Ovis aries: one gene and its partners. The protein of the gene in region 7 interacts with the protein of the main gene of each other region in a biochemical or structural test. Links are inferred from orthologs where the notes say so. Each region holds a gene or a part of one and is shown on either strand. Other genes may lie near its edges.

What was found.
Region 1: the proteins of KHDRBS1 (region 7) and FYN form a complex in vitro, tested with the Homo sapiens proteins (4 studies listed by BioGRID and IntAct, with this or other methods). The link is inferred for Ovis aries from reciprocal best matches to the Homo sapiens genes KHDRBS1 and FYN.
Region 2: of the proteins of KHDRBS1 (region 7) and FGR, one has a biochemical effect on the other in vitro, tested with the Homo sapiens proteins (2 studies listed by BioGRID, with this or other methods). The link is inferred for Ovis aries from reciprocal best matches to the Homo sapiens genes KHDRBS1 and FGR.
Region 3: the proteins of KHDRBS1 (region 7) and ITK form a complex in vitro, tested with the Homo sapiens proteins (4 studies listed by BioGRID, with this or other methods). The link is inferred for Ovis aries from reciprocal best matches to the Homo sapiens genes KHDRBS1 and ITK.
Region 4: the proteins of KHDRBS1 (region 7) and RASA1 form a complex in vitro, tested with the Homo sapiens proteins (2 studies listed by BioGRID). The link is inferred for Ovis aries from reciprocal best matches to the Homo sapiens genes KHDRBS1 and RASA1.
Region 5: the proteins of KHDRBS1 (region 7) and FNBP4 form a complex in vitro, tested with the Homo sapiens proteins (2 studies listed by BioGRID and IntAct, with this or other methods). The link is inferred for Ovis aries from reciprocal best matches to the Homo sapiens genes KHDRBS1 and FNBP4.
Region 6: the proteins of KHDRBS1 (region 7) and LYN form a complex in vitro, tested with the Homo sapiens proteins (3 studies listed by BioGRID and IntAct, with this or other methods). The link is inferred for Ovis aries from reciprocal best matches to the Homo sapiens genes KHDRBS1 and LYN.

Annotation. Positions count from the first base shown.
Region 1 is NC_056061.1:25,879,285-25,883,547, forward strand, and holds the start of FYN (tyrosine-protein kinase Fyn), read left to right. Parts: upstream 1-1,463; 5' UTR 1,464-1,915; intron 1,916-4,263. UniProt on the Homo sapiens protein: Non-receptor tyrosine-protein kinase that plays a role in many biological processes including regulation of cell growth and survival, cell adhesion, integrin-mediated signaling, cytoskeletal remodeling, cell motility, immune response and axon guidance.
Region 2 is NC_056055.1:239,424,390-239,427,889, forward strand, and holds part of FGR (tyrosine-protein kinase Fgr), read left to right. Parts: exon of another isoform or gene 1-19; intron 20-546; exon of another isoform or gene 547-670; intron 671-1,277; 5' UTR 1,278-1,347; intron 1,348-2,273; 5' UTR 2,274-2,286; coding exon 2,287-2,506; intron 2,507-2,977; coding exon 2,978-3,080; intron 3,081-3,500. UniProt on the Homo sapiens protein: Non-receptor tyrosine-protein kinase that transmits signals from cell surface receptors devoid of kinase activity and contributes to the regulation of immune responses, including neutrophil, monocyte, macrophage and mast cell functions, cytoskeleton remodeling in response to extracellular stimuli, phagocytosis, cell adhesion and migration.
Region 3 is NC_056058.1:66,503,356-66,506,855, forward strand, and holds part of ITK (tyrosine-protein kinase ITK/TSK), read left to right. Parts: intron 1-1,501; coding exon 1,502-1,673; intron 1,674-2,028; coding exon 2,029-2,245; intron 2,246-3,167; coding exon 3,168-3,232; intron 3,233-3,322; coding exon 3,323-3,441; intron 3,442-3,500. UniProt on the Homo sapiens protein: Tyrosine kinase that plays an essential role in regulation of the adaptive immune response. Regulates the development, function and differentiation of conventional T-cells and nonconventional NKT-cells.
Region 4 is NC_056058.1:84,650,801-84,654,300, reverse strand, and holds part of RASA1 (ras GTPase-activating protein 1), read right to left. Parts: coding exon 3,435-3,500; intron 2,561-3,434; coding exon 2,426-2,560; intron 1,441-2,425; exon of another isoform or gene 1,242-1,440; coding exon 1,158-1,241; 3' UTR 1,112-1,157; exon of another isoform or gene 1-1,111. UniProt on the Homo sapiens protein: Inhibitory regulator of the Ras-cyclic AMP pathway. Stimulates the GTPase of normal but not oncogenic Ras p21; this stimulation may be further increased in the presence of NCK1.
Region 5 is NC_056068.1:76,423,842-76,427,341, reverse strand, and holds part of FNBP4 (formin-binding protein 4), read left to right. Parts: intron 1-2,287; coding exon 2,288-2,412; intron 2,413-3,397; coding exon 3,398-3,500.
Region 6 is NC_056062.1:36,204,287-36,207,786, forward strand, and holds part of LYN (tyrosine-protein kinase Lyn), read left to right. Parts: intron 1-2,016; coding exon 2,017-2,199; intron 2,200-3,500. UniProt on the Homo sapiens protein: Non-receptor tyrosine-protein kinase that transmits signals from cell surface receptors and plays an important role in the regulation of innate and adaptive immune responses, hematopoiesis, responses to growth factors and cytokines, integrin signaling, but also responses to DNA damage and genotoxic agents.
Region 7 is NC_056055.1:235,455,258-235,458,757, forward strand, and holds part of KHDRBS1 (KH domain-containing, RNA-binding, signal transduction-associated protein 1), read right to left. Parts: intron 3,420-3,500; coding exon 3,295-3,419; intron 2,140-3,294; coding exon 2,023-2,139; intron 864-2,022; coding exon 717-863; intron 1-716. UniProt on the Homo sapiens protein: Recruited and tyrosine phosphorylated by several receptor systems, for example the T-cell, leptin and insulin receptors. Once phosphorylated, functions as an adapter protein in signal transduction cascades by binding to SH2 and SH3 domain-containing proteins.

The DNA of each region.
Region 1 (4,263 bases), on a different chromosome or scaffold from region 7:
AATAGAATCTAAAACAGTAGATATATGTATATGTATAACTGATTCACTTTGCTGTACAGCAGAAACTAAGACATTGTAAATTAACTATACTCCAATAAAAATAGATTAAAAACAAACAACCCCCTCCCCACCCAATATTGCACAGATTTCTCAGGGGGAAGTTTCCATATAAATACCTCTTAGTTTAATTTTTTTTTAAGTACTATGTATCCAAAAAAAGGCAGAAAAAGTGACTGGTATTTGAAAACTACAGTCAAAACTTAGTGGGCAGGAAAGGTAATATTATAGATTTTGAACATAGAAGCAGATGCCAATTCACTTATATTTCTCAGAGCGCTATATTTTGCTGAGGGGGTAGGGTAGGATTCTTGCCAAAATCATTAAGAAGAATGAATCTGAGCATGCCTTAGAGTAGAACTTTCAGTAAACAGGAATTACCTATAAAGAAAATCAGGAAGCTGAAGTGTTTGCTTTTTTTTTAATGAAGTTACATCCTGCCATAGAAATGCTGGATAGGAAATAAAGACTGATGCACTCCCAGTTGTATATTAAACCAGCTATTATTTCATCAAGGAAAATCTGAGCAAAAGCTCAGATTTAGAGAAGGAAAAAAACCACGGGAAGGCTGAATTCATGAGAAAACAAAGACAACCAATGGCTACAATTGAACATGCTTTTGGAAAAAGCTATACAAACAAACACCCACTCTGTGATTGCAGATTCCATAGTAGTCGCTTGCCCTCTCCACCCCTTACTCGTATTTCCCTAATACTTCCTGCAGACTTTGCTTATATATATATACATATATCAGAAGACTATCAGTTCATTCTAATTTATTCCGTTTTATCCCCTTCCTTTTCTTCCTCCCCCTCCTTATAATTACTGATAATATTAACCGCGCGTTTCCAGGTTTCTCTTTTTTCCAGGTTTCTGTGATGGGATTCTCCCTTGCTCCGCACTCTTCGGTTTGATCAGAGAAAACAATTTAATCATCCTAACAGTTTCCCAATTTATCCTCCCACCTTCAAATTAAAAGACAACAGAAAGGAAAGATAGCCCTTTCTCAAGGCAGGTTCCCATGGTTTTGAGGGAATGGCAGATGCCTTTCTGCAGTAGCGGCTGCAACCTTCTCCAAAGCAGAAACTGAAGCTCACACTCTCCTCTTCTTTCCTTACCCTAACCCACTACCTCAAGTCCACGTAAACCTTAAAAAACACACACGCACAACTCCTCCAATCTAGTATCCCCTCTCACACCCTTACACCACAAGCACGCCAGGATGCCCAATGCCACCGGAACGCTCTGCCCACTCGGTGGCCCCACCCATCGCCGCCCCGCCCCCGCTTCAACCACCAATGGTCGCCGCCCGCTGCTCCCGAGGGGCTCGTTGATTGGACAGTGGAGCCTGCCACTCTCGCGGGGCCTCCCGCCCTCCCTCACTCCCCGCTGGGGCTGGAGGGGCTGGAGCATCAGCGCGAGTAGCTCGGAGCAGCCGCGGCAGCGGCGGCGCGTCGTTGCAGTTGCGCCATCTGTCAGGAGCGGAGCCGGCGGGGAGGGGGCTGCCGCGGGAGAGGAGGAGGGGTCGCCGCGAGCCGAAGGCCGCCGAGACCCGCCCGCCAACCGGCCGAGGGAGCAGAAGAGAGGCTGCCCTCGGAGCCGCGCGTCCATCACCGCCCGGGCGCGCGGCGCTTCACCCCGCGCACCGAGGGCTCCCCAGGCGCACACAAAGCCGCCGCCCGCGCCTGGGAGGGATCCAGTCGCCGGGCCGGGGACACCCGGCGCCGCCCCCTGGGCACTCTCAGAAGGCCCACCGGCTCCCGGGCCCGCCGAGCAACCACCGGAGCCGCTTCGGCCGCGCCGGAGGAGGCGGGGAGTGGACCATGTGAATGGGCTCCGGAGCCTGAGCGCAGCGCAGGTAAGCGGCCGGGGATGCGCCGCGGGGCCGCGGGGATGCTGCGGAGATGCGGGCCGCGGGCGCCGAGCGCAGCGCCGCCCCCGCCGCGGGGCCCGGCGCTGCAGTCTCTTGGCCATCGTTGCCTCTGGGGCTCCCCGCGGGGCTGCCAGGGAGTTGGCCTTGCTTGGAGTCTTGCTGTGGTCGCTCCGGAGGACACCTCTGCGGGCTGCAGCCCCGAGGTAGCGCAGGGCTGGGGGGTCCATTTCCTCAGGGTGTGAATAGGGATTGGCTTGGGGGGTGGCTAGGCCGGCCCAGACTCCGCCTCCGCCCTCTTTTCGGGGCCCCCCGCGGGGACCCGGGCTGTGTGTGTTGTTTTAATGTCAGGGATGATGTAATCACTTAATAATTGATGCCCCGTGCTGCTTCCCTCCCCACCCCACTCCACCCCTGCCCCACTCCTCCACCTCTCGGCCTCCTCCTCCTGTGGCCGTCGCCTTTCCCATCGCATCCTCCAGCTTATTTCTGGCACCTCCCTTGCACTTCCCCCATCCTCCCCTCGACTCTTCCTGTGCCACCACCCACCCTTCCCCAGTCCCCCGTGCTGGAGCCTTAGCTCCTCTTCCTCTGACCCCTCCAACCCTCCTGCTCCCTCAGGCTCCTTTCTCCTTCCTTCTCAGCTCTCTGGATTTCCTCTCTACTTCCCTAGATCGATGACTGTTTTTGTTTGGTCGCCTCCCCTCTCTTATCTCTGCGGCCACAGGCGGAGGGGACTGAGCCAGAAAGAGGCCACCAGGCTTGGGCCTCGGCGGAGATTTGCTGGGACTGAGTGAGAAGAGGGATAATAAAATCACCCTTCTCGCCCCTCCTCCCACCAATAAATCACACAGACTCGCGGGGTGTGTGTGTGTATGTGTGTGTGTGACACAAAGAGCCCTTTCAGTGCACAGAGAGGAGACGCATAAAGTGCCCAAGGGTGGGCGCGATGCTTCTTGTTTCTCTTCCCTGGGGCTTCCCTTTTGCTCAGATAAAGCAGTTGATCTTCTCTCTGAGAGTCTTTCCTGCCACATTTACCAAAAAATAAAAGGCCCCAGATGCAGGGTGGCAGGTGCTGCCGTTTTGCTGTATTCATGGACCGGTAGTGTTGACTGGCGGCTGCAGTACTTCTTAGATTGAAGGGGGAATTGATTTCAGCTGTCTGAAGAGTTGCTTTACTCTCAGGGTAGCACCCTCCCTTGCCCAGTTTTAACTCCCTTTCATGGTAGGGGGTAGGATACATGGGTGTGGGAGAGGGAGAATTTTGTTTCCAAAAGAGAGTTATATTGATGTTTGCTAGGAGTGAGGCAGCCTAACTTGCTTCTCTCAAGTCTAAGGAGGACTGAAGTCATTTGAAATGAAGTCTTGTCCACCCAGTGATGGTTGTTTCACCCTTGTATTTAAAGAAGCTCCTGGGGACATTGCTAACACAGCAGTAAGTCGGTATTTGGAAGACTACTGGGGACTGTGTCTCTCTTGCCTGCTTCAGGGTACCCTTCAGACAGCCACTTCCTTCCTCTCACCGCCAAGCCACTGCCGTACTTTCCACCCTTTGTGCTCTTTCTCCCAAGTCCCTGCCCCTCTGCCCCTCGGGTCCTGTGCTTTCAGACAAGGGACTGATTTTTGGAGGAAGTGGTTTTGTTAATTGTCTCAGGTGTTGGAGGCACTTAGCTATGAGCGAAGAAGGTAGAGAATCTTTTGCCTGATCTCTTAAACCATCTGCTTGATGTTCCTCTTAAAAAGGAAATGTAAATGTAAATCTGGGGGCTTAATGTTCCATTCTGTAAGCCAGTGACTGTTACATGCTTAATCAATAATGTCAAAACTTAGGTCGAACCCATTGATTCCTAAGAGCATGGCTCTTTGACTGTTATAAGTAATAGAACTGTCTCAAGTTCTTCAAGAATTTTATTAGAGAAGAATTGTTATGGTTCATTAAACATTTACTCCTGCACTTTCTAAGGACATTCATCTTGGAACATTTTATATTTTAAAAAAAGCAAAAGGGTTAATGAGGGTAGTGTTCAAAACAAAAAAACAAAGCCTTGTTTGTTTGGCCAAACCCAGGAAAGAAAGTGCACAATAAGCTCACCCTCTGTTGACCGAGTTCAAGAGAGTGGTGAGGTTGAATGTGAACAAATGCATATTCTGCTTTCTGTACTTTTATTCTCTGCTTTCTCCTGGGTCTGAAATCTCCTAACCCCATCTGATTTGCTTGGGTTCTGTTAAACCTAAGGCCCAGCTCAAAAGTCTTCTACTCTGGGATGCTTTCTCCTCCTTTCCCCTTCAAGCAAATCACCATGCCTCCAATTTTGCTTTCACACTTCAGCAGCTGG
Region 2 (3,500 bases), about 4.0 Mb from region 7:
GGAAGGTTTCCTGGAAGAGGTGAGTGGTGCAGGCTGGACAGGTGGGCAGGACCCATAGAGAGGAGAAGGGAACCAGACTCAGGAGTCGAGAAAGGCGAGGCGGGACACCTGTCCTGAGGGTCCTCTGGGAGAAATGAAGGCACACCGGGTTGGCCCCACCCTAGAGCTCACATCCGGAGAAGGCAATGGCACCCCACTCCAGTACTCTTGCCTGGAAAATCCCATGGACGGAGGAGCCTGGTAGGCTGCAGTCCATGGTGTCGCTAAGAGTCGGACACGACTGAGTGACTTCACTTTCACTTTTCACTTTCATGCATTGGAGAAGGAAATGGCAACCCACTCCAGTGTTCTTGCCTGGAGAATCCCAGCCTGGTGGGCTGCCGAGTCAGACACAACTGAAGTGACTTAGCAGCAGCAGCAGCAGAGCTCACATCTGAGGAAGTCGAGCCCTTTCCCCGGCAGTTCCTCTCTGAGTGTTGCAATGGCAGAGTTTCTGGCAGGGTGTGGAAAGCCCTTGCTCAATGACCTGCTTGCCTTGTCACTCAGAAGACACAGCTACCGGGAAAGCCTTGGCTCCCTTGGGGGCTTCCCAAGGGACCTGGTGGTCCTGACTTCTGACCTGGGCCTTTCCGTGGTGTGGAACAAGCTCTGGAGGTAGGTGGCTCTGGAGGTAGGTGTCCATCTTCCCTCGACTATTCAATGTAGTCCTGGGACTGCTGGGGTTTACCCAGACCAGGGAGGGGTGCCAAGGCAGAGCTCAGAGGGAGGGCTTGGTTTTAGGAGACAGTGACCAGAGGCCTAGAGGGAACTGAACAGGGCTGATAGAAATCCTGTTAGAGACCTGGGTCTAACCCCGAGATGTGCTTAGATGAGTGTGCGAGTCTGTGAGCCTGAGTGGGCAACCTGTGTGCACGTGCGTGTGTGCACGTTGCCGTGCCGCGAGCTTGGGCTCGTGTGAGTTGGTTGTGTCGCTGTGTGCTGGTGCTGCTGAGCCTGCTTGGCAGGGGTGTGCTGTGAGTGCCGCGGGTGACTGTGCCGCTGTGTGTGCTGCTCGTGTGCTGATGTGTCAGGTGGAGATGAGTGTGAGAGGGCTGGTGTGGGTGGTGGGTCTTGTGTGAGGGTGGATGATTAAGTGAGCCATGGAGGCCAGGAGGAAAAGGAAGGAGGAGTCCTGTCGGGGCAGAGCCCAGGCCCCTGGCTTCCCTGGAGAGGACGCGTGTGGGCATCTGGCCGCCAGAAGCCTGGCAGGGACTTCATCTTCTGTGTCCTCTGTCCAGCCCTCAGGTCTCCGGCCCCTCCTGAGGACCATGCCACAGCCCTTCTGACGCAGGAGTAGGGGCCTGAGGGGTGAGTGGGGGCTGAGGGCTCCCCGGGTCAGGAAATGGGGTGGCGGTGGCCTTTCTGGGCCCCACAATTCCTCACAGCCCCTTCCTCCTACAAGGGCCCTGTTGCTAGGTAACAGATGGGGGAGCGAGAGTGAGGCAGCTTGAAAGGCCAGAGGCTGGACCCACGACAGGAAATGGCCTTGATCCCCCTCTGCAGGGACTCTCCAGGTGCAGGCACACAGGCCTCACACACACTCACACATAAACACGCATTGGCACACAGACATGCGCACATGCACAGACATGCACATACCCACACGGACTGACGCAGACCTGCACACAGAGATACACGCAGGCAGGCACAAATACTCCCACACAGGGCTGCATGCACGGTCATGACACACAGACGCATTCACTCACACACACCTGCAAACACAGAGACACACACATACATGCTGACACAGAAACGCCTGCGTATGGACACTTTCCAACAGACATGAGCACACAGAGACGTTTCATACAAGAACACACTCACATACACACAGACATAGACATTCACAAAGAGCTGCCTAGATACACACAAAGACACGCACCCACGAGCAAAGTCACAAATACTAAGAGACACATGAAAGACACACACACACACACACACACGCACGCACTCTGAGGGGGGGTCATAGAAACCCAACACACTGAAGCAATAGGAGGCAAAAACATGTACATAAACACAGAAACATCTTGAAACAGAAAACCAGTCCTGTGGAGGAGATATATACTCTCCAGAAACACTAAAGCAGCTGTGGGGGAGGACAGAATGGAGACCCTGCCCCCCTTTATCCCTCACTTAGGGATAACTCCCCCCGCCAGGCCTGAGTGAGGCAGCTGCACGCCTCTGCACACTATATGTCTCACGTGGACCCCTGAGTGAACCATGCCCCCCTTCTGTAGCAGGGCACCTGGCATGGGCTGTGTGTTCTGCAAGAAGTTGGAGCCGGGGGCCAAAGAGGATGATGGTCTGGAAGGGGACTTCAAGAACTATGGGGCTGCAGACCGCTACGGCCCCGACCCTACTCAGAGCCGGCCTGCATCTTCCTTTTCCCACATCCCCAACTACAACAGCTTCTCCCCTCAGCCCGCCAGCCCCGCCTTCCTCGATGCGGGCACCATCCGGGGCATCTCAGGTGAGGCCAGGGGGCTGGAGGCAAGCACTGACTGGACCCTCACAGGACCTCAGGGGAGAAGAGACTTGGCCTTGTCCTTCAGAACCTCCAGGATGACTTGGGAGACACAGCCCTGCTTTTAGCGCAGTCTGAGGGAGCCTGTCCAGCCCTACCCTCAGAAACTCCCATCTGAGGGGCAGACAGAGCTCTGTTCCCCGTCTGATGAAAGGACTCTGAAGACAGTTACCAGTGGGATGTCTGCATGGTGGGGGAGAGCAGAAGGGACTCACAGGGAGCCCCCAGGGGAGGAGGGATGAGCTCGATGGTGTCTGTCCTCAATCCATAGGGTCCAAATCAGAAATCCACTGGATTCCAAAGACCTTTGAGCTCCAGGGCACTGCCGCAGTGGAAAGGCAGAGAGCCTGTCTGAGGAACAGGACTCTGGGGGTGCAGCCTCCGGGAGCCCTCTGATGAGTAACCCTGACTCTGCAGGGATTGGGGTGACCATGTTCATCGCCCTTTATGACTATGAGGCCCGAACGGAGGATGATCTCACCTTCACCAAGGGCGAGAAGTTCCACATCCTGAACAACACGTAAGTGATCAGGCCCCCCCGGCTCAGGACCCAGAGAAGAATCTTACTGGTCTTTGTCCTCGGGAAATGCCAGTCTAACTGGAGAAAGAGACAGGACAATAACAATCTCTGGGTAACTGCTACTATGTAGGGGAAGCCTGAGGAACTATGCGCACGGAAAGAACACCAATCACAGCCTCTAGGGTACTAGTGATCAGGGTAGGCTTTCTGGAGGAGATGATTTCTAAGCTGAGACCAGAAAAACGAAGAGACATTGAAAGAAGAGGTGACAAAAAAGGAAGAGAGTTAGAATGAAACTACATGATGACTTCTGGAAACCACCAAGTGGTTCAGATTAGGAGGGTCATAAAGTCTGAAGTGCGGAACAGATCCTGGAGGACTGGGTGGGAACAGTGTCTGCAGGGCTTTTTAAGCCATCTT
Region 3 (3,500 bases), on a different chromosome or scaffold from region 7:
AGTACATTATATATCTGGAGATGGTATACACAAATGAACATTTACAATGTGTGTAAGATAGATAGATAGACAGATGCACATTTATCTAGGTCATATCAATGAAGTGTTCGCTGACCACCTGCTCTGTACAGAGCATTCCACTCAGTGCTGTGAGAAACCAATGCTACACCACTGTGTTCCTGCCTATCTTCTAGAACTTCTGTATCATCTGGTTTATTGGCTATCAGTCCCTTGCAGGTGCTATAAGCTAGCAGCATCCAGAAGTGTGTGTCCACATAGCACTGTGTTAAAATTTTTTGAATGCTTTTAGACAGGGCATACATCTCCAGGGCCATGGACCTTACTTTTCCTTCCTTCCCTATGAAACCGCTTCACCCCCTTGTACTTTCTGCCTGGAACCTGAAGGCATTTGGGGATGCAAACATACCCTGATCCCAACTGTGCTGGCCGAGGAGAAGGCTGATGTAACTTTCATGTTGTAACTTTTATGTTGGTGGTCCTCAAACTTCGGTGGGCATTCAAGTTATCTAGGATGCTTATGAAAAGTATTGACTCCCAGCCCCAACCCAGCACTTACCAAAACGCAATCCCTGACAGTTGGGTCCTGGAGCTGCATTTTCAGCAAGTGCCCTGGGTGATTCTGACACCAGGGGTTAGAGGGTGATACTTTGAGAAATGTCGCTGTGGGCTCCTCATCTGTAACCAGCGCCATGTCTGCACACTGTGGGTTCTTGGTACTGCTTCCTATTGAGTCTCTGCCTCAGAGAGGTAGAAACTGAACTGTTTATGGTACTAGACCAAGCGCCAGGAGAGGATAGTGCCCCTCAGCCTCCTGACAAAAACAAAGTAACTCCAATACCTGTAGAATCCTAATGTGTTCATGCTGGGTGGAAGCCCAGAGAGTATTTTATGAACCCATTCATTTCTGTCAGCATGGAGGTTGAGACTCAGATCCCTTTTATTCACTTGCTGAGCATTTGTTGAGAGCCTGCCTTGTGCTAGGCCGTGTGCTGGCCTGCACCTCTGTACCACTCCACCTGGAATCCACTGCCTTACCTCCGCTAAGGCCTAACAAGTGCTGTCTACAAAATGGATGCTCTTGATGGATAAATGCATGAATGAATGACCAATTCAAATAAAACTTGCTCTACATGAAAAATGGCAAGAACAATTTTCGATTAGGTATAGGAGATGATTGGGACCTTAGAACCCTTTCATTGACTTTAATATCTCAACTAATGCCGTCCTCCGTCCTCTTTCCATGTGATCGTCCCCACACACATTTTTTCATGGTTTTCAGTGCACATTCTATGTAATTATTTGGGAAAAAGATAATTTTACCTATCTATAGTTCTAAGTATGAGGGCTTATACCATTTGCCATCTTTGAGCTACATTAACGATAGTCTAACATTCTATATAGAGCAGTATAGTTTCCTGGTAGTCCTATACCTCATATCTACTGCTTGCCAACTCTGGAAAACCCTCTCTTTCTGTTCCAGGGAAATGGGTGATTGATCCCTCAGAGCTCACTTTTGTGCAGGAGATTGGCAGTGGGCAGTTTGGGTTGGTGCATCTTGGCTACTGGCTCAACAAGGACAAGGTGGCCATCAAAACCATTCAAGAAGGGGCTATGTCAGAAGAGGACTTCATTGAGGAGGCTGAAGTCATGATGTGAGTGGCCACACAGAGAGCACTGTGATCTTTCAATACCATTCTAATGTCGTCTTATGCCACCTCCCTGCCCAAGTCCAGCGATGGCTTCCTATGGCATGGAGAATAACACCAAGCTCCTCACTGTGGTCTAGAACGCCTGCCATGGTCTGGCCCTGCCCACTCCTTAACTTCATCTCCTACCCATCTCTCCTCTGGTTCCATGCATGCCAGTCACACTGACCTTCGTTGTCCTCACACACACCAGCTGAGTCCGCGCCATTCTTCAGCTCAATGAGACATTTTTGTTTGAGGGAGGGAGTGTATTTTGGGAAACTGAATTTAGACCATCTCAACTCTTGCCATTGTTCTCCAGGAAACTCTCTCACCCCAAACTAGTCCAGCTCTATGGAGTATGCCTGGAACAGGCCCCCATCTGCCTGGTGTTTGAGTTCATGGAACACGGCTGCCTGTCAGATTACCTGCGTAGCCAGAGGGGGCTCTTTGCCGCGGAGACCCTGCTGGGCATGTGTCTGGACGTATGTGAGGGCATGGCCTACCTGGAAGAGAAGTGTGTCATCCACAGAGACTTGGTAAGAGGATGCAGGGCAAAACCCTACAAGTCCAGGGTAAAGGGGCATGTCCCACTGAAATGCAGAACTACCAAGTCTGGGAACGGCACGAATCAATAAAAAGGCACAAGCTTTCTTCCTCCCCGTTGCAACTTCTTCCTTCCTCCACCCATGTGGGAGAGCCTCATGGGACTCAGTTCTGGGCTCTATTCCCAGCCCCACCTCTAACTTCCACTCTCTAAGTTGGAGTTTACATTCTTCCAAAATGAAGCTAACAGCGGCTCCTCCTTAACCTCTCTATGTCTCCACATCCTCTTGGTAAAATGAGAGAAGTTGACAAGCACATGCTTTCTTAAAATGTTATCCAAGGATCTATCAGGATCGCATTGGGGTGATCCTAGAACCAACCTCAGAATTTCTGGTGGTTGAGGCGCAGGAATATTCATTTTAACATGTCTACCCCATGGAATTTGCAGGCACATTAGAATTTAAGACTCACTGGATCTTTTATCAGTAAGGGATCTTCAAATCCAAGACTCTGTGATGTGAGTTAGGGACCATGTCATCTCCCCATTGAGGAATAGTTTTAAGAGAATTAGCAACCTCAATACATTCTCACTTTAGTCAAATGGATGACAGCTTCTCCATACCATCCCTAAGATTCACATCAGGTTGCACTGGAGCTTATAATTGGTTACACAACACCATGGATTTCTTTTTTGATTAGGATCCCAGGAATGAAGATGAAAGATGAGATTTACTCACCCTGATAAAAAGAGCTTACGCATTCAGTTTCCATCGCGCACTAGTGATGCTTAATTAACATTTGTGAAGCTCCTTATTGCTCCCATATAAGCAAAGCACTGTGATTATAGGAGACTCCTTAATTACTGATTACTCACCAAGTTTTCTTTTCCCTTTTGTTTGCCTGTCTCTGCTCCAGGCTGCCCGGAATTGTTTAGTTGGGGAAAACCAAGTCATCAAGGTGTCCGACTTTGGGATGACAAGGTAACATGGGGATGTGGTACCAGCAAAGTCTCAGGAATGGGACGCAGGCCCCCAGGACACTCGGACCATCTCTCTCCTCTCTCTTCCCAGGTTCGTCCTTGATGACCAATACACCAGTTCCACAGGCACCAAATTCCCAGTGAAGTGGGCATCTCCAGAAGTCTTCTCCTTCAGTCGCTACAGCAGCAAGTCAGATGTGTGGTCATTTGGTAAGTGTCATTCTGGCCCCACACCCACACAACCTGGGACTGTGTGCCAGTTGTTTCAT
Region 4 (3,500 bases), on a different chromosome or scaffold from region 7:
CAAATACATAATGAATTAATAGAATCCTTCAAAAGAGACCATTAGCTAGAAAAAAAAAGCTCAAATTTCATCTTCTCCCTGGGCCTTGCTCTGGTACTAAATTTTGAACTGCCCCTAAAGGAGGAAGAATATAATGAAATTAAATGTTTAGCTATATTTAGACAGAAGTAATCAATTTTAAGATATCCCTTGGTTTTATTTTAACTTAACCCTGTGAATAATTCACAAAAATACACATACAGAAGCAAATAAAACTATACAGTCAAACTAAATATCCAGCAGATACAACAAGTAGTCAGAAGGTCAAAGATGGATAGTTGTTCAGTGGCTGATAAAGTTGTTCGCATAATTTAAAAATTCAACTTGGAATTAATGAATATGTTCAATGAAAGTATTCTAGGTTTTTTTTTTTAACATACAAAAGAAATTGGTCATTTATAAATGGTTGAATGGGTAACATGCATTGATCAGTACACAATGACCAATAATATTTATTGAATTCAAACTATTTACTGTTGTAAACATTAAACAAAAGCATTATGAGTTCTAAATACAGTCTTTGACAATTCCAACAAAATAAGTGGTACGTTTAAAAAATAAAGCTGATGAGCAATAGATCCACTCTATATATTTTCTTTCAACAGTTCCAGCAGAGATAGCACAGTTATTTTAAAAAAGTATACAGCAAGGATTGTTCCTATTGTAATGGCAAATTCTGGAAACTGTAAATACAAATAAAGTCATTGAACAGTCAGACGGTCATATTCCTAATTCAGGAAGAAGTAATGTAAGAACAGTCTGCAATCCAGTTATACTCAATTGTCAACAGAGAATGCTTTTTCATAGTTCTTTTCTCAAGAAACAGCAAAACTTTGGCAATTGAATGTATTGAAAATATATTTTCAAAGTTCAAGATACAGTCATAACATTGTGTGAAAGGTGATCTGTACACCAAGGCTCAGAGGTTGGTAAAGATAGCTTACAAAGCTGCTGGAGCAGTTACCAGCAGAATCTTGAGTTCTATTTGCATAGCTCACACATCACTGGAATGTGGAAAGGTGTGCTATTTTTTTGGCAAGAGCAAAGGAGACATTATACTGATGTGATTTACCATTTGGGGCATGCTGAATCCATGCAGAACACTGCGGCGAAGGCTGCTACCTGACATCGTTAGTTTTTGTATACTGGTTTTGTTTTTGCTGAAGCAGTTCTGTTATAGCCAGAAGCTTTTTCAGTACATGCTAGACAAGGAAAAACAATATGAAAATAATTAGTAAATGAATGAAAGCTCTGTCAAATCTCAGGGATGGGAAACCTGGATTTGAAAAATACCATATGAACTCAAAGGGATTCATAAAATAACATTACCATTCTACTCAAAAAAAAGCATACAACTGTAAGTATGTATTACTCAGTCCTTGATTAAATATTTCTGGTCATGTTATTTTGGTTGAGATATAATTTTTTACTCAACATCTTATCAGAAGACAGATTTATCATTATAAATGACACACCTCAAGCCCTGTAAGAGCACATAAGGGCAATCAGGCTATAGTCTAATGAATGCTGTAATCATGAATGACAACACTGGGCCTACAATTAAATCATTCAGCTCCTTTATCTTTCTTAGAAAGTCTTAATTGGGCCACATTCTCCAAAAAAATAATTTAAAAAAAAAGTATTTAAGGCAAGCCATATAATAAACCCAACTCCAGTGTAGCAGGAAGGCAATTTAGGTGCCAAGAGCATATAAGTAGGTCTATGGCACATATTCTGCCTGAGTTTCTAAAGTGATCGGAACCTAAGTGAATCGTGCTATTAGTATCTAAACTGGGAAGAAACGAGAACTGTAGAATCTCAGATTGAGGAGAACTCAGAATCACTGCAGTCAATGTGTTAACCCCTCCTAAGGCCCCTGCCGCATGTCAGCCACTGGTGACAGTGCTTCGTTTTTAAGGCCATATTCCAGAATCTCTGGATCTTGAAATGTTTTTATCAGTCTTAGAACACATGCATAATTCTCATGTGTTTGACAGTTTGCAGAGTTACCTGGCCATGCACGGTGTGTGTGTGACAGAAGCAGACAGAAAAACACTACATCACTACTGATTGACTGTTAGCTCACTTACCACTTCCATACATGCCACAAAGGGTATAAACACCTCCGTTTTTTCAGTAGAGTTCACATTAACTTAGAAGCAAGGTTTGACATTTTGTGGTATCAAAAATATGTAATCTTAATCTGGGCTCATCATTCCTGTTTGCTGAGATCTTTGTGGATTTTGATTCAGAGTCTTAAAATTTTAATTAGTAAAGTAAGACTAATTGTAGTTCAGCTGTTTATCAGCTCTCAAAGAATCTTATGCTGATATTGTGCTTACATGTAAAGAAATAATATTGTTAACAAAGGCTGGCAAAAACCTACCTGTTGTGCACCACGCTCATTACTGAGCGTCCGCAGTTCATCTGAATGGGCCACACAAATCTCATGCAATGCTGCTAAATCACGGGAAAGGTCAGTTCTAGAATGCTCTGTAGTGTCCGGAAGTTCAGGTACATTCTTTAAGGGAATCATAAAACTGGGTTTAGAAATATGACACTACTATCTCTTCTGAAAAGATCCTAACTGGTACAATAGATAAAATTTAATACATAATAATCTCTTAAAATTCAACTTGACAGATTTTATGACCTCAATATTCACACAAAAATCAGGTTTCATTTTCTTCAGTCACAGGACAAAATATCATGTAGTATTACTGCTATTCTAAGCAAATGGTTTTTCTAAATTTTAAATCTATGAAGAGTTTTTTTTTTTTTAAGAAAAAAATCTGGAGGGCAAATAATGCAAGCATTAACTCTTTAATATGGATTAAAGGCAACCCAAACTTAAAATTCCTATGCTCTTTCAGACTGACTTTCATGATTAAACTGGTATAATTTGTCCAAACTCATCAGCACATATAAGAGCTACATGACAGGTGTTAATGAGAACCATTCAGGTCTATAATTATCTGTGGACTATGCCACAAACACATAATTAACATATAGAAATCAGTGTTAATTATCTTAAGTTTCATAAAGTAATTTAGTGTCAATAAAGTACTACCAGACTAAATACTGATTTTACTGTTTCAAGTTCCACTACTTTGTTAAAGCAGCTAAAGCAGCAACAGACTGACATAGTGGTGAGGTGGGCAGCTAAGAAGATAATGAAAGACAAGACAGAAACTGAAAATGACACAAGAAATCCAAAAGCCACAATACTATATTCGTGGTGAAAACTACTTATCATAAGAATAAATGATTATCATTATAATCAAATGAAATAATTTGTTTAGGAAGGTAGACAAAAATATGCAGCTTTTGAATTTTTTTTTCAGTTCTGGATAGAAAAGCTTTTAGGTGTCAAAATACTTAAATTGTATACATACCCCTAGTTCATCTAAAAACATGATCATGCGATGTTTATTACTTTTGATGAATGGATTGACACCTTC
Region 5 (3,500 bases), on a different chromosome or scaffold from region 7:
TGTTTGTGAAGTGGGCGTATGTAAATTTTAACATAGGTGAGGTTAACCATATAAATTGTTAAACAACATGATTGTTTTTCACTACTGAGTGTTACAGATGTCTTCATGTAACTCTTCCCTCATTGGTCACCATTTGTATCCTCATTCCACTGTTAAAAGTAATACTGCATTTATATTATCCCAAAAAAGTACAAGCTATTCAAAGGTCCACCTAAAGAATAGTGGATAAATTGTGATGTGTTTTTGAAATTGAATACAGAATAGCAGTGAAAAGTGAATGGTCCATTGTTACATGCATCAACATGAATTATCACTAGAAATAATAATGTTGAGTTTCAAAAGCCACAGAAGAATGCATGTTAGAATTCCATTTATGTGAATTGGAAAACAAGCAAAACTACTGTGCTTCAGGATCTGTCCATGATGAAGGTGCAGGCGCTTCTTAACATCACCAGGATGTGTCTGGTGTGAGCATGATGGGAGAGAGGCACAGGGAGCTTTAAGGTGTTACTAAATGGTCTTCTGTTAAGCTGAGTTGTACTTACTGAAGGGCTCATGTTCTTTATGTATTATACTCGTTAGTTATGATACTTCACAATTAAAATGAAGCTTAGCAAACATCTTGGGACATCTGTGTTTATGCAGGTTTTAGTATAGTATAGACTGCTAGTGGTATATTGCTAGGTTAAGGGGTATGTGCATTTTAATTTGATAAATCCTGCCTAATTGCCCTCCAAAATAATCATATCTTAGAGCTCTAGCAGTTCTTTGAAATTGTTGAATTCTTAAACCTGTCATTAAATGTAAGATGTCTGATGTATAAATAAACTAGAAACTAGTCAATGGGAGAGTAGAAAGATTTAGTTTTAGACAGTTTGAAAATTCAGAAGGAATGTAAATGATCAAATAAAAAGAACAAGGCCATCGTATGATAAGGTTTAGTACTTAATACTAAATTTCAGACTTTTTATGAAAGCTGTTGAGACTGGTGTTAAAGTCACATTTCTTCTTTAGATCAAAGATTAACTGAAGTTAAGAAAGAGTACTCAAATTTGTTCTTTTTCTTTTTATCTATGATCCTCATGAGAGTGATTTATACTGGATATATGGATTAGTTTGATAAGCAGGTGTTTACCAAATATAACAAAGACTTCATATCTCTTATGAACTTTTAGTCCATTTAAATATGTGGTAAACCTGTTCTCTTATGGAGATTCTCACTGCCAGCAGATAGCACTAACCAGAGGAATAAGTAGGTCCAATAAAGGTTGTCTACAGGTGTTAGCCAAGAAGGGAGTTATTTGGTTTAACTCCCAGTTTAATATGCTGTTCTGATTATGGAAGCCTTTTTATCAAAACCCCCTTCATAAAGAATCCTCACATATTCCAGGTTTGATATCTAGCCTTCATAAGTAATTGAAGCCATGGGTTTTTGAAAGAGATCAGAAAAGGAGCTTCCCTGGTGGTCCAGTGGTTAGGACTTTGCACTTCCACTGCAGGGGACCACACGTTTGATTCTTGTTCAGGAAACTAACATCCCACAAGCCACTAAGTGTGACCCAAAAAAAGATCAGAAAAGATTAATAGATGGAGAAAGGAAAAGCAGAAACTTTTGGGTAATGTGATTAAAACAAGTAAATCCTATATGTAGATACATTTTAAGAAATGTGATTATAAAGCAGTCTCCCCAACTTCTTTGGCACCAGGGACCGTTTTGTGGAAGACAATTTTTCCTTGGACCTAGTTGGGGGCGGGGAGGATGAAGGATGGTTTCTGGGTGATTCAAGCAAGTTATGTTTATTGTGTACTTTATTTCTATTACTTTTAACATCAGCTCCATCTCAGATCATCAGGCATTAGACCCTCAAGATAGGGGACCCCTGTTATAAAGAAATAATTTTTTTTTTTTTGCTTTATAAAGACAGTAGGTTGGTAAGTCATTAGAGCTTCCTTAACATGTATGGAAAATAGGCAAAGGAGAGCACTAATAACCTTCAGATACCTCTGCTCTAGGGATAAGAACGTATATTTGGGGCTCTATTAGTACTGGTCTGATTTTTTTTTTTTTAACATTTTTTTTGAAATATAGTTGATTTATAGTTTTGTGTCAGCCTCTCCTATGCAGGAGAGTGACTCAGTTATATACATATAGACATTCTGGTTTTTTTTTCTTAATATTTTCCATTATGGTTTATCACAGGATATGGAGTATAATCCCCTGCACTGTAGAGTAAGACCTTTTTGTTTATCGTCCTTCTGATTTAATTTCTCATATTTTCTCTTGCAGCAGTTGGTGCTGAAAATTCAGAAAAAATGGATGAAAACTCAGATAAAGAGATGGAAGCAGAAGAATCTCCAGAAAAATTAAAAGTACAGACAGTACCTAAAGTAGAAGAAGAACAGGACTTGAAAGTATGTACATTATTTAATGCAACTTGACAAGTAATATTTTTAAATTGGCCAACCATTTTAAATAGGCTATTTTTTTTTTTCTAGAAAGTAGTAAACTTATTCTTCTGGATAGTAGTAAAAAAGTAATCTTTGTTGTCTTTATAATATAAATCATTTGGTTGAGTGAAAAAGATACATTTAAGGCTGAAATAAGGAGACTGACTTGATGTAGGGAAATCTAAAAATAAATTCTAAATGCTTAACTACTTATAAGTAAGTCTCCATTGGAAAGCAGTAGCTTATCAAATATAGGCCTCTCTAGTTTGGAAGCATTAAAAGAAACTAAAGTCACAAATTTAAATAACAGAGTTAACTTGCATGAACTATTGGGTTAGCCAAAAAGTTCATTCAGATTTTTCTGTAACAGCTTACGGAAAAACCAGAACGAACTTTGTGTCCAACCCAATACTTGCCCTTACACAAAAGGCATGCTTGGTTCCATATTTATTTCTGTTGCTAATGTCATGAGAAGAATTGGACCAAGTAAGTATGTGGCTCTTTAAGCGTGGTCTGTTAGGAAAACCACTTCGCCTATTGTTTCGACTTTAAAAAGTCCATCCAGTCAGCAGGTAGTACAGCTGTGCGGGTGGAATTGGGAGAACCCATTTTGTTTAGTGTATGGCTGGCATAAGCAATTAGTGACGGATGCGTGGTGGTTTGGACAGTATTGAGGAGTCATGTCATTTAGGATCTCTTTTCAAATTCCATATTGTTTTAGCGTAGGTACTGCCTCCAGTTTCTCTAGACCTTGCGTCACTATTTATTCTTTCTGTGTGAATTATTTCACTGTAAGTCAGGTTTTATCTTCTGCATAACTAGGTGCAGAATATGGACCCGCCTTGTAGGCAGATCCATTTTTCTAGTGTCTGCAATGAGAAATGAAAGACTGTGCTTACAATATTCTGACTCTTATTAATTTTTCCTTTTTTTCTTTCCTGCATTACAGTTTCAGATTGGAGAACTGGCAAATACCCTGACAAGTAAATTTGAGTTTTTAGGCATTAATAGACAGTCCATCTCCAACTTTCATGTGCTGCTTTTACAAACTG
Region 6 (3,500 bases), on a different chromosome or scaffold from region 7:
GGGCTTTTTTGTCTTGGGATAAAAACATTTTATCAATTAGAAAAAATCTAATGAAATTAAGAAAATCAAATTAATTAGAGAGAATGGTACAGTGCATATGGAGCTTTGTTTACCATTGTTTTATTAAAAAAACCTTTTGATTTTAGAATAATTTTAAGTTCTTTGATAAAGATAATACAAAGAATTCTCATATACCCTTTACTCAGTTGCCCCTAATGTTAGGTGCTGTTCTGTGCTTAGTCGCTCAGTCATTTTGCGACCAATTTCATGGCCGACTCTTTGTGACCCCATGGACTGTATGTAGCCCACTAGGCTCCTCTGTCCGTGGGATTCTCCAGGCAAGAATATTGGAGTGGGTTGCCATTTCCTTCTCCAGGGGATCTTCCCAACCCAGGGATTGAACCCACATCTCCGGCATTGCAGGCTGATTCTTTGCCGTCTGAGCCACCAGGGAAGCCCAAGAATACTCAAGTGGATAGCCTATCCCTTCTCCAGGGGAACTTCCTGACACAGGAGTCAAACCGGTGTCTCCTGCATTGTAGGCGAACTCTTTACCAGCTGAGCTGCTACCAGGGAAGCCCCCTAATGTTACATATATAGGTTTTGTTTTTCTTTTTATTATTATTTTTAAGCACTTATTTATTTGTCTGCACCAGGTCTTCGTTGCAGCACGCGTGATCTTTTTAGTTGCAGCATGTGAGATCTTCAGTTCAGTTCAGTTCAGTCGCTCAGTCGTGTCCAACTCTTTGCGACCCCATGAACTGCAGCACACCAGGCCTCCCTGTCCATCACCAACTCCCAGAGTCCACCCAAACCCATGTCCATCGAGTCAATGATGCCATCCAACCATCTCATCCTCTGTCATCCCCTTCTCCTCCTACCCTCAATCTTTCCCAGCATCAGGGTCTTTTCCAATGGGTCAGCTCTTCACATCAGGTGGACAAAGTACCAGAGTTTCACCTTCAACATCAGTCCTTCCAATGAACAGCCAGGACTGATCTCCTTTAGGATGGACAGGTTGGATCTCCTTGCAGTCCAAGGGACTCTCAAGAGTCTCCTCCAACACCACAGTTCAAAAGCATCAATTCTTCTGTGCTCAGCTTTCTTTATACTCCAACTCTCACATCCATACACGAACACTGGAAAAACCACAGCCTTGACTAGACTGACCTTTGTTAACAAAGTAATGTCTCTGCTTTTTAATATGCTGTCTAGGTTGGTCATAACTTTCCTTCCAAGGAGTAAGCTTCTTTTAATTTCATGGCTGCAGTCACCATCTGCAGTGATTTTGGAGCCCAGAAAAATAAAGTCAGCCACTGTTTCCACTGTTTCCCCATCTATCTGCCATGAAGTGATGGGACCAGATGCCATGATCTTCGTTTTCTGAATGTTGAGCTTTAAGCCAACTTTTTCACTCTCCTCTTTCACTTTCATCAAGAGGCTGTTTAGTTCTTCTTCACTTTCTGCTATAAGGGTGGTGTCATCTGCATATCTGAGGTTGTTGATATTTCTCCTGGGAATCTTGATTCCAGCTTGTGCTTCCTTCAGCCCAGCATTTCACATGATGTACTCTGCATATAAGTTAAATAAGCAGGGTGACAATACACAGCCTTGACGTACTCCTTTTCCTATTTGGAACCAGTCTGTTGTTCCATGTCCAGGTCTAACTGTTGCTTCCTGACCTGCATACAGGTTTATCAAGAGGCAGGTCAAGTGGTCTGGCATGCCCATCTCTTGAAGAATTTTCCACAGTTTATTGTGATCCACACAGTCAAAGGCTCAAACTCTTAGTTGTGTCATGTGGGATCTAGTTCCCTGACCAGGGATCAAACCTGGGTCCCCTGCATTGGGAGCTCAGCATCTTAGCCACTGGACCACCAGGGAAGTCCCTAAAGGTTTTAGATAATGTTAACACGATAGGGTTTATAGAAGTTTTTTCTGTCTATAGCTAAATATTCTTCTAAGTCTGCATGAAGTTTTTGATGAATCATAACCTCCCTTCTTTTCCCTCCCTAGGTTACTATAACAACAGCACCAAAGTGGCTGTAAAAACACTGAAGCCAGGCACAATGTCTGTGCAAGCGTTCCTGGAGGAGGCCAACCTCATGAAGACGCTGCAGCACGACAAGCTGGTGCGGCTGTATGCCGTGGTCACCAGGGAGGAGCCCATCTACATCATCACTGAGTACATGGCCAAGGGTGAGTACCCGCCCCCACTAGGGCTTGTGGCGGCCCAGCCCTCGGAAAGGACACCCAGGCATGTGATGGCCCAGCCCTCAGAAGGAGAACACTTAAACATTCAGAGACCCCTCAGATAATTCAGATTATCAGCAGCAGGCTCACTCCAAGGGCTTCCCAGCTGGCACAAGTGGTAAAGAACCCGCCTGCCAATGCAGGAGACATAAGAGATGTTAGTTTGATCCCTGGGCTGGAAGATCCCCTGGAGGAGGAAATGGCAGCCCACTCCACTATTCTTGCCTGGAGAATCCCATGGACGGAGGAGCCTGGTGGGCTAGAATCCATGGGATCACAAAGAGTCGGGCACAACTGAAGCAACTTGGCACACAGGCTTATTACAAAAACATCAGAAAACACAGGACAGTGAAGCCCTTTCATAAGCCACCTCCCTGGAAGTCATCTGCTGTAAAAGGAATATGTTGTCTTCCCAGTTTCTGGGCACTTATCTCAATGTACCTGCTGGCCTCAAGAATGAGACCCTAAGCCTAGACGGCCCCCTGGACATACTTGTCAAATAAGTAAATACCGATTTCAAATAAGAGTATTATTGTTTGGGGTTCCAATTGTGAGTTCTCAAAACTGAAAACCAGTTCCTTGTCCTCTTTAGCATTATCTAAACGTTCGGAATGACACTTTAAAACATAAATATTTGAAAAACTTGGCCAGGTCAAGTTCCTGCATTGTCACAGAATCCCTGAAGAAGTGATTTCAAGCAGCCATCTTTTCTCCCACTGCTGTCCCCTTCAGATCAAGGATCTTAAGTCATCATCCTTCTTCCTCCAGCTCAGGAGAAATGCTAATTAAACTGCCCGTGATTTCTAAAGAATCTTCAGAAGGAACGAAGATGATACCTAAGCCATTATCCAGAATTAACAGTGACCTCCTGAGAATGGAGATTATAGTGTGATGCCATAACTGAATAGGTTAGAAAGATGAATATTGCATTTTCTTATTTAATATATGTTAATATTTCAGAATATTAATATCCTCCAGAGTCCTTCTAAAAAAGAATATTTTTTAAGCCCTATCAGGGCTTCCCTGGTGGCTCAGTGGTTAAGAATTCTCCTGCCAGTGCAGGAGACACGGGTTCGATCCCTGATCCTGAAAGAGCCCACATTCCACGGAGCAACTCCGCCCATGCGCCACAGACACTGAGCCTGTGCTCTGGAGCCCAGGAGCCACAGCTGCTGAAGCCCATGCGCCCAGAGCCCATGCTTCACGAGAAGCCACTGCAGTGAGAAGCCTGTACCGCAGCTAGAGAG
Region 7 (3,500 bases):
CAAAGAATGAATAACCTCTGACCAGGTGGTAATAAGGAAGACAGGTAACCTGGTCTGTTCCAACTCTTCCAAGGCCTTAAATACATTCTGAAAGAAGCTATATACCAATCTGTTTAACGTCATTAACAGTTAACGCCTACAACCATCATGCCTCCTTCAAATCAACTCTACTTGAGTAAACTCCTCCAGGACAGAGTCTTGAATGCACTCAGGTCAGAATTTAACCCATTAACACTGGAGGCCAGATAACACATCATCAGACTAGATGATACTGTTATCATCATCTAGACTCTCAGGAGTCTATACTATAACCCCTTAACTGCAGGGGGGTTACAACCACCTTCACCATTTTCCTGTCATAATCTCCTGGTTCCATACTAGCACCAAAATACTTAATTTATTGAAGACCTTGTTAAATCTTTGTTAACCAAATGTTGGAATGCCAAGACATACTGTGGATCCAAGATATTGACAAAAGATACTGGCATACAACTAAAATCACATTAAAACTAGGACTGGTAGAGTGGCCTCGGGGCACAGTGGTTTGAGAACTAGGTGCAAGTAATGGACTACCTCAGAAAAATGAACATAAATGCAGAATTGGATATGCAATTTCAGGTTATGCAGAGACCCTGGTTAAGAACCCCTGCCTTAGCAATAAGCACAAGATCCTAGTTTTCTCTTGCTCAAATGATACAGGATATGGATTTCCTTACTGGTACTAGAAACTTCTTGACTTCCTCCATAGCATGGGCCATAAGAGCATAAGCCTCACATGGGGGTCCAAAGACTTCAATGAAGACATGCAGATCCATATTCAAGTGGGCATATTTGGGGTCTCCACCTTTGCGCAACTCTTCCTCCTGTGAAAAAATGCACAGAAACAACATTATCACTTGGACTATGTAGAAAATGACACCTTTACCATTAGGCCAAAGGGACAGTAAGAAATGACTCCAACACCTCAGAAAAACCCAGTAAAGTGTAAGAAAAAAGTAAACTCTGGAGTACAGTAATTTACACAGTCTGCTAAACCTGCGATTGGTCTGCTGCTAAAAGCTGTTGTTCTGAATTGCTGGTGTGTTCATTGGAGCTCATATTAGAAGGCACAGAAGAGACAAATGTAATTCCAGTCTCCATTCGGATAACGGCTGTTTGCCAAGCATCCATCCACTCATTCATTAATTGCCAAGCATTTGCTTTTATTAATAAACCCCAGGTAGAGCTGTTAATCACCAGCTCTTCTGATCTGCTTGTATAGAGAAGGAAAAAAGTCACAATAGAAGAAAATCTCATGTACACCTCATTAAACAGAGTATTATACTTCAGCCCTAAATGCTCATCAATCAGGCTGCATACAAGGAGGCCTGAAAGAGTTAAGTTTTTAGGCTGGAGCAGGTTATATCCCATCTAAAAAGCTGATTCTAGAAAGCTAAGACTATTTTATTTTGGTGGGAAGTTTCTCCACACTTAGAGAGAGTATAAAGAATACGGGGCTATGGCCTGGGGAAAAATAAGCTCTGGATTCTATTGTCAGGATTTCTCATGGTTCCTTCTGTGACATCTTCCTTTAGCATGCCTCACATTCCAGCTGGCTATAAAACAAACCAGCCAACTAATCTTCAAACTCACCTGCACTCACAACACTATTGCTCACATTTTCCCACACTAACTGGAAACAGAATGCTCTTCACATTTAGTGTCTTTAGCTGGGTAAGTTTCAGTACATTCAGCCTCCCCTTCCAAGTTTTCCTAGATAAGCTTACTAAAGGCCAAAGCTGCTACTGCTATTTCCATTACTACACAGTCAAGTCAGAAAGAAAACAATCACCAGGGCATACCAAGGTTCTTCTTGGGTTGCCAAAGTAAATTAACTGGTCTACAATCTCTCACATCCAATGCGAATTTAAGGGAATCACTTTCAGTACACACGTAAGAACTAGCTTCCATAGGTATCCATACTGGACTCTAGGTTACTGGAAGGCATTCGGGTGTCTTCTTGCCTCATTAATGTGAGCTTACCTTGGCTTTGTCTCTCATTGAGCCTTTTCCCAACACAGAAATCTTTGCACCAGTCTCTTCTTGCAGTCTTTTGATTGTATTTCCCTGTGGTCCAAGGATCTTTCCCACAAAATTGAACTGATAGAAAATAAAGACAGATTTCTAAATGTGTATGTTCCTATAAAATATTTCTATATGTATTATTTATCTTCAATACTTCCTGTAAAGGAAGTAGAGTACTAACCACTCCCATTTTACTGAAGGATATACTGAAGTGGTACTGATAAAATTGATTAGCCAAAGGTTATACAACTGGAAAGAGGCTTCCTGGGTGGCTCAGTGGTAAAGAATCCATCTGCCAATGCAGGAGATGCTGGTTCAATCTCTGGGTTGCAAAGACCCCCTGGAGGAGAAAACGGCAACCTATTTCTGTATTCTTGCCTGGAAAACCCCAGGGACAGAGGAGCCTGGCAGGCTACAGTCACAATGAGTTGGACATGAGTGAGCAACTGAGCATGGCATGGCACAAAACTGCAAAGCGGCAGTTCTGGAACTTGAATTCCTGATGTAGTATGATGTTCTTTCCAAATTATCACTCCACAACTCTTTGTAATTTAACATACATAAACGTTTTTAAGGCAGTTACTTTAGAACAGAACAGACATACGTTACCCCCCTTTGGTAGTACTGGTCTGACTAAAACTAGTTTGTTTTTTTATAAAAGGAGTAGTAGTAGAAACCATTTATTTAAAAGTGAAACTTTGGGAATTCCCTTGAGGTTCACTGGTTAAAACCATGTGCTTCCACTGCAAGGGTCACAGGTTCCATTCCTGGTCAGGGAACTAAGATACCACAAGCAGTATACCCCAAATCAAAAACAAACAAGAGCAAAAAAACTTTGAGTAAGAAATAAAATTAACTTATTCATTGTGTCACAAGGATTTGTGTTGTATTTCTTTTATTTAAACTTCAGCTCAATCTTTCGACAAAGAACAATTACGGTTCAATTTTTTTCCTTTAAGCTTGAAGCTAAACAAACATTTGAGAAAGAAATTCCTTTTTTGATAATAAAAAGATGGTCGCATTTCCTTCCTGGCTGTAGCTATGCTCTTAGTTGCAGGCCTGTGTGTCTTGCCTGCTGGATACAGTCATTATAAGCATGGGACAGAACCTTCACCAGGCCCACAACCTCTGCAAATCTTTTGTTACAGCTGGTGCTACAAGACACACCACATACTACACATTCTCATACTACGAAGCCAATTCAAAGAAATGAGGCACTCTTTCCCTTACCTTGGGATACTGCTTGACAGGTATCAGAACCCTCTCCTTCAGCTTCATGTTCTTGTGAGAAAATAAATCCAAGTAATTCTCCTCATCGTCCTTTTTTGAATCCCCTTTCTGAATCTTCTCAATTTCTGAATAGGACAAACAGAAATTTAATTTAGCTTTGTTCTTTTAAATAAAGGCAAAATTCTGAGTCTACTTAAAGCAGTAAG